Arabidopsis thaliana: one gene and its partner. The protein of the gene in region 1 interacts with the protein of each later gene in a pairwise test. Each region holds a gene or a part of one and is shown on either strand. Other genes may lie near its edges.

What was found. Proteins that work in one complex are often made in the same cells at the same time.
Region 2: the proteins of AT1G05805 (region 1) and NAC062 interact in a two-hybrid assay, tested with the Arabidopsis thaliana proteins (one large-scale study listed by BioGRID).

The regions. Positions count from the first base shown.
Region 1 is NC_003070.9:1,742,485-1,746,241, forward strand, and holds the start of AT1G05805 (basic helix-loop-helix (bHLH) DNA-binding superfamily protein), read left to right. Parts: upstream 1-1,959; 5' UTR 1,960-2,358; coding exon 2,359-2,833; intron 2,834-3,725; coding exon 3,726-3,757. Other genes in the region: DGL (alpha/beta-Hydrolases superfamily protein), read left to right, coding at 1-135.
Region 2 is NC_003074.8:18,363,338-18,367,094, reverse strand, and holds the start of NAC062 (NAC domain containing protein 62), read left to right. Parts: upstream 1-2,135; 5' UTR 2,136-2,377; coding exon 2,378-2,555; intron 2,556-2,825; coding exon 2,826-3,106; intron 3,107-3,200; coding exon 3,201-3,440; intron 3,441-3,532; coding exon 3,533-3,757. Other genes in the region: AT3G49540 (uncharacterized protein), read right to left, coding at 692-1,096, 1,200-1,295. UniProt on the Arabidopsis thaliana protein: Transcriptional activator activated by proteolytic cleavage through regulated intramembrane proteolysis (RIP). Transcriptional activator involved in response to cold stress.

The sequences.
Region 1 (3,757 bases):
TTTTTGAACAGAACAAGTGAACTGATGTTCAGTAAGGGACGACGTCAAGCGTTGCATTTTACAAACGCAGCGACCAATGCGGCATATCTACTTTGTTCTATATCCAACCATATGTTGTATTATAATATATTTTAGGTCTAGATTGATCCAAGCTAAAATTTTGGATTCTTTTTTAAGATAGGACAAAATAATTATTGCCCTATCTTTTACGTAGCATAAGAAATGTACATATATAGATGTATATGCAAAACCTAATACAAAAAAGTATATTTTCCACATCCAAGATAAATTATTGCGTCTCATCTATCACAATGTGAACAAAAATAATTATTTTCTTCTCTTAGTTACTATGAGTTCACAATATAATACTTTTCTTTAGGTTAAAGCTCTCAACTGTTGATGAAGTACAAGAACTCAAAATTGTGAATGAAAAAAAGGGACATCATCCAATATCAGGCGTGTACATATTAGCATTGTTGTGTATCTTTTTATATTATAGTCCATTAGTCCTAATCGATAGATGTATTTTTTTTTGTTTTATTAGTTATAAAAACAGACATCTATTATTAATTTGTTATGGTTAATTGGTTATTGTATATTATTATAGTAGAAGTGACGTGAGGTACCAACGTATTAGATTATAAATATAAATAATGGCCAAAGACAAAGCCATTTGTCAAAACTTCAACGTCATTATAACCTGTAAGATTAAAAATGAACAATAAGAAATCATATTTAGCAAAAAAAAAAAAAAAAAACAATAAGAATCATTTGTCAAATCTTCAACATCGTTACAGTGTATAATTTATATTTTGATTTTTTGTTCTAAATGATCAAAGTTCATATATAAAGTTATTTATATGCTCAAATTTAATCATCGAATATATATACAATTTGTCTATGTTATTTGTCAAAGACAACGTCAGCAATAGTTCCATATACTCTCTTTTTCTTTCGGAGTCTTTATATTACTCACGGAGATATTAAATTATATTTATTTTTTCACTGAGATATTTTTTTTTTTTTGGTTTAATGTTAATAAACTCACTGAGATATTAATTAATACATGCAATCTTTATCTATATTTCCCATTTTTATTTGTAAATGTGTCCCTTCTCGTGTTATGCGAGGGTCTTTTTTTAACTTTTTAATTTCTCATTTGGAAGCTTTCATCTATAAATATATGCACTAGCTTATTCTATATATAACATAAAACCGAAAAAAGGTTTTGTTCACGATGTGGATTCTCTGTTCACGAGAGGTTTTGTTGAAAAAGAAAGAAAGAAAATAATTCAACTTGAATTTGGAAGTTTGGTTACAGATCACATCATTCGACAATAAAAATAAAGACATATATAACAATTAGAACAGTAACTAATTTGAATTTCAGCTTCGATTTCTTACGAATCACATGGGGTCAATAAGGGTGGGGCTAGAAAAACACGTACGTTTGGAGACCAATGTGTGTATCATTCCTGCATGCGCATCAGATGTGTTTCACTCTTCAGAAAAACGTTTATTTTATTTTGCATGTCACAGTCGTAGCTAATTATCCGTACGCATCTTAATTACGACTCCATTTTACACACCAATTTATGGATATATAATTCAGACAAGATGAGTTCTCGTTTAATTTTACTTCTTTCCATTTGTGGAAGTTCATATACTATTGTGAAAATTTGAAAATAACTGGTGAAAGAGGAAACGTCCATATTTGTGGGCTCTATTTATAATAATAACAACAATATTAATTGTTTAGGTAAAAATTAACAGAACTATTTTGAATTACAATCGGAAAAAGGTTTGCGTCAAAAAAGTATTGATGAACCATGCATTTGATATAAGCATTTATGTTTGTTCAATTTACTATTAAGCAATTAAGTCGAATTTTATCGAATCATTTTAATTTTTACCTTTAACATTTCTGTGATCTTGAAATCTTTAAATTAACAATGTGAGTTATATACACTAGAGAAAAATAATTGCATTCCACTGAAAACCTCAACATCTTGGGAAATTTAAACTTAATCAAAGACATCGCAAATGTTGCTTATCTTTTTATCAAGCCCAGCCCACATATTCGCGGCCCCAAAGCCCAAAGGTTAAGCTGACTCGTTACAAAATAAATAAGTATTAATAAAGGTTTTTGATTGGCTTATTTCGGTTTAAATTTAATACCATATCTTTCGGAAGATCACGTGAGACACATGTGACATCCAACGAATAGCCAATCGCTGAAAAGTGAAGACTTTTTGTTACCCCATAAACAAAAGCATCATCTCTCTCTCATCTTTTATTTTTCTTTTAGAAACCAAACTTTTCAGATTTCTCTCTCTCCATTTGGCGATAGAAGAAGTCATGTACCAATCATCATCCTCCACGTCATCATCATCGCAGAGATCATCGCTTCCCGGCGGCGGAGGACTGATCCGTTACGGCTCAGCTCCGGGATCGTTTCTAAACTCTGTGGTTGACGAAGTCATCGGAGGAGGCTCATCAAACGCTCGTGACTTCACCGGCTATCAACCGTCGTCGGATAACTTCATCGGTAACTTTTTCACCGGAGCTGCTGACTCATCCTCGCTGAGATCCGATTCGACGACTTGTGGAGTCAACAACTCATCCGACGGACAGAAACAGCTAGGCAATAACAATAATAATAATAGTAATAAAGATATCTTCCTCGACAGATCCTACGGTGGATTCAACGAGATCTCGCAACAACACAAGAGCAACGACATCGGAGGAGGAAACAGCTCAGGATCTTACTCTCTCGCTAGACAACGTAGCTCTCCCGCCGATTTCTTCACCTACCTCGCCTCAGATAAAAACAGTTAGTCCTTTTTTTACTCAAGAATAGTAACTGTGATGAGATATATATATTTAGACAGACAAGTTTACTCATTTTCAGACCATTTTTCCTTAGAATTTGCCAAAAATCGTAATGTAGAATATGAGCTATATAGTTTTCAGTCATTCAATCATTCATTGCTCAACTAAAGATCCGTTTTTTGGTGAAATGAAAATCTAACCACGAGGGTATTTTCGGTATTTCTCACTGTGAAGTATCTAGTTTCTTACAAGTTAATTAACGACTATGTATATAAAATAAGTTGACATTGTGAGCTTTGATATTTAGGGTCGTTGCTAAATTAGCTTGGTTGGTACTTGTGCAAGACGTGATCCTCGTATTTTCGGAATGACGAAAATACCATTTGATCCCTAACCACGTGCTTGAAAATACAGCAAAAATGTGGCTCGGTTACCCTTAATTTGGGATATTATTTAAATCTTCGAGGATTCCTATATCTCAAGTTGCATTTATTTATTTAGAGGATGGATTTTTTCGTTGATGACCAATAGTTTCTCTGCTGAGATGGCGAAATATCATTGGTTGTGATGAAGATTATTCAAATAGAAAGCGATGTAGATCTAGTTGGTGGATCTGATCTGTCCACTTTTATATTATTTTTTCCTTGGTCCTGATGATTCGTGCTTTGCTTCGTTGTTATCTAATCATAATATCTTCCACCAAGCCTGGATGTGACTTCCCACACCTAACCGGTCACCGGCCTGAACCGGAATTCAACTATCCATATTATCCAAAAATCCCTCTTTATTTACTTACATTATATGGTTTCTAATATTTTGGATGTGAATGTGAATTATTTTTAAAAATAATTTTCACGTAATGTCATTATAATATAGTTTACTTTGTAAATCAGATTTCTCGTTGAACCAACCAACCAGTGATTAT
Region 2 (3,757 bases), on another chromosome or scaffold:
GCAAGTTACCAGATACAAAACAAGAGTGTTTTTGACTCCATAGATAGATAATATCAGAATCAAAGGGATTCATTGCCACTTGAAAACATTCGAATATACTCCAACAGATGCAATGTTGATTTCCGGTGTCAACAACTGCCAACATTCATCCTCTAAGTGTTAATATTCAGTCTCCAAATCCTCAATATTCGATGTAGTATTTCAATGCAGATCCCATCTCCTCGTGAAGTAGTCAAACATCTCTTAACATTCTAACATTAAATTGAAATCATTTAGTAATATTTGATATTTTTTCTTCTTTTCTTTGACACTGCCAATTACGATTTATGAGCAGGACTTAAGATTGCATATACAATCAAATGAAAGATGGAGTCACATCACAAGAATAAAAAGATCAATGATCAAATGAAAGATTTTAGTTTTCAGGGGATTTTGCATCTTTCAATGTTTTCGATTGTATCTTCCGGAGAAAAAAGAATCAGAGATCGTAATTCACACACGAACACGTTCGACTTAAGAAATGTTGATTACAAATTTTCACGATGCAAAACTGATTTATATTTAATTGAATCAAAGAAGAATCATTTTGAGATACAAAGAACAACAAAAGCCAAACCAATCTGGTAGTAGCAAATCAAACCAAGGTGACATACAACAACATTCAAAATACTTTCACAAATTTAATTAATCATCAAACGGTGACAACAGCTTCTTTCTCTTCTTGTTTACTCTCCTCCTTTACTGGTTCAGCCTCAGCTTTTACTGGTTCAGCCTCAGCCTTTACTGGTTCAGCTTCAGCCTTTTTCTCCGCTTCCACTGCAACCTCAACCTTTTCGGGTGCAGCTACGGCAACCGCCTCCACCTTTGCTTCAGCGTTTTCTGTTGCAGCGTTCTCCACTTTCTCAGGTGCAACTACTGCAGCCTCACCAGCATCAGCAGAAGAAGACTCTTCGACGGCTGCAACCTCTGGTTGAACAGCAGGAGTTGTTTCCTTGGTCGGCTCGACCGGAAATGTCTCCTTAGCTTCGACAGAAGTTGTTTCAGTGGTCTCAGCCACTGTCTGGTTCTGTTTCTCACCGCTTTCTGTGTTGTTCTCCTGTATTAATTAATCATACCAAAAGATCATAACCGGTTAAGCCCGGTTCGGTAACAAAACCTAATTAAATTTTCATATTTAAAACCTAGAGATTAATTGTTACCTTGGCTACTACGTTTTCAGAGACAGGCTTGTTAGGAACAGAGCCTTCTTCGTTTTGCATGTCTGATTCCTTGGGTCTACTCGCACAGCCACCCATTATTATATATTTTTTTGGTTTTTGTGATTTTGGGTTGGGTTTAGGCTGTGGAGTGTGCAAAAAAAATTTACACAAACTTTTTTATTTTTCTCTTCTTTTTTATTAATGTTGACCCGAGGATTGAGCAAATGAAGAGAACATAATCATGGTTATATAGATGAAGATGATTCCGATTTTTATGGAGAGCCTTTGGTATTTTTTCTTGTGTGTGTTGAAGTATTCAAATTGGGGATGGCTAAGAATAGAGTTTAGCAGAGAGGTAAGAGTAAATTTAGATAGATGTTTCTCTGTATTTGAAAAGCTTCATTGATATCGTCAAACTTTTGGAAGTTTTGTGGACCTCTCTCGTCTCTTGTTGCTAGCTCTATTTTTAGCCGGTCCTAGCTCCAGAATTTTAATTCGATTTTTTGAATTTTGTAACTTGCAAAGATAAGAGGATTACGCCGTGTAAACGATGATGAATATCCTAATGATTATGCAGCTTTTTACTAATACATAATTTCATGAAAGAAGTTTTGATTAGGTTTCCAAAAGTCAAAGAAAGCGAAAAAATCTAAATAAATTAAAAAAGACAAGTTTCCAAAAGTCAAGAAAAGCGTAACACCATCCCAAAAACAAAGTGACATGCACCGAAACTTCCATTCCTTTCCACGTGTCATTACATCATTCGTTCTATGACATTTCTCATCACCTTCTTTTACAACAGTCATTCACTTCTCGCTTTTACCCCTGCATCTAGTTAATATCCCAAAGTCGCTCAAGGGCAAAACCATACTTTAACAATTTCCAAACCGCGTAACGTACTTGGTTTGCCGCGTGTACACACCACGCGCTGCCATCACCATATAGAACTCACAAAAGGAAAGAAAAAACCAAATCAAAGCTCACATCTGCCTTCTTCTTCACTTTACCAAAATCATCGAATCCATTTTTAGGGTTTTTGTTTTCTCTCTAAATTTTTATTGTTATCTTCTTCGCGATACCTTGGAATCGCATCTCTGAGATAGATAAATAATTCTGATTCGTATCTTTAAATCTTGGGTTCTTCTTCTTCTCGCGATTCGTTTAAAAGAGCAGCATCAATGAATCAGAATCTTCATGTATTATCAATGGATTCGTTACCAGTTGGATTAAGATTCCGTCCAACAGACGAGGAGCTAATCCGTTACTATCTCCGTAGGAAAATCAACGGTCACGATGACGACGTCAAAGCTATCCGTGAGATCGATATTTGCAAATGGGAACCTTGGGATTTACCTGGTACTTACTTACTTACTTCTTCATCTCTTTATTCATAAATTTACACTTTTTCTATAGATCCTCTTTGATTTCTCTGGCATTATGTTGAATTGAGAAATGGTAGAACTTAAAATTTGTAGCTTTAGTTTCTATGGTGAAGAAAGTTAATAACTTTAAACCGATCATATGTGTTTGATATAGTTTAGTTTTGGGTATGTGGTTATATCTCTGTTAAGGTGTAGTGTAAGTGACTGAAATTTGATTAAAAGATGTGATTTTTTTTTGTTGTAGATTTTTCTGTGATCAAAACTAAAGACTCAGAGTGGCTCTACTTCTGTCCATTGGATCGGAAGTATCCGAGTGGAAGTAGACAGAACCGGGCAACAGTTGCAGGGTACTGGAAAGCCACAGGAAAAGACCGGAAGATAAAATCCGGTAAGACTAACATTATTGGTGTGAAGAGAACTCTAGTTTTCCACGCGGGTAGAGCTCCTAGGGGGACACGAACCAATTGGATTATTCATGAGTATCGTGCCACGGAGGATGATCTTAGTGGTACCAATCCTGGCCAGGTAAATAATGCATACTTTTAGATGTGTAACCATTGGAAAACTAAATTTGGCTCTGTAGCTTATTGTGTGCTTGTGTTGATATATATATATGCAGAGTCCGTTTGTTATATGCAAATTGTTCAAGAAAGAAGAACTGGTTTTAGGGGAAGAAGATTCGAAGTCAGATGAAGTTGAAGAACCTGCTGTCTCGTCTCCAACTGTCGAAGTGACTAAGTCAGAAGTATCTGAGGTAATTAAAACAGAAGACGTGAAGCGTCATGACATAGCAGAATCTTCTCTTGTAATCTCTGGAGATTCTCATAGTGATGCTTGTGATGAGGCTACAACCGCAGAGGTGAGGACATTGAAAAATTCTCTTAGACAGTTTTTAGATGATTGTCTCTAGTGTCTGTTTGAATACTAATGATGTTTATTTTCGGCATGCAGCTTGTAGATTTTAAATGGTATCCGGAATTGGAGTCCTTAGATTTCACGCTGTTCTCTCCATTACACTCTCAAGTCCAATCTGAGCTTGGATCCTCTTACAACACATTCCAGCCTGGCTCGAGTAATTTTTCAGGGAACAACAACAACAGCTTCCAAATCCAGACTCAGTATGGTACAAATGAAGTAGATACGTATATATCTGATTTTCTTGATTCGATTCTCAAG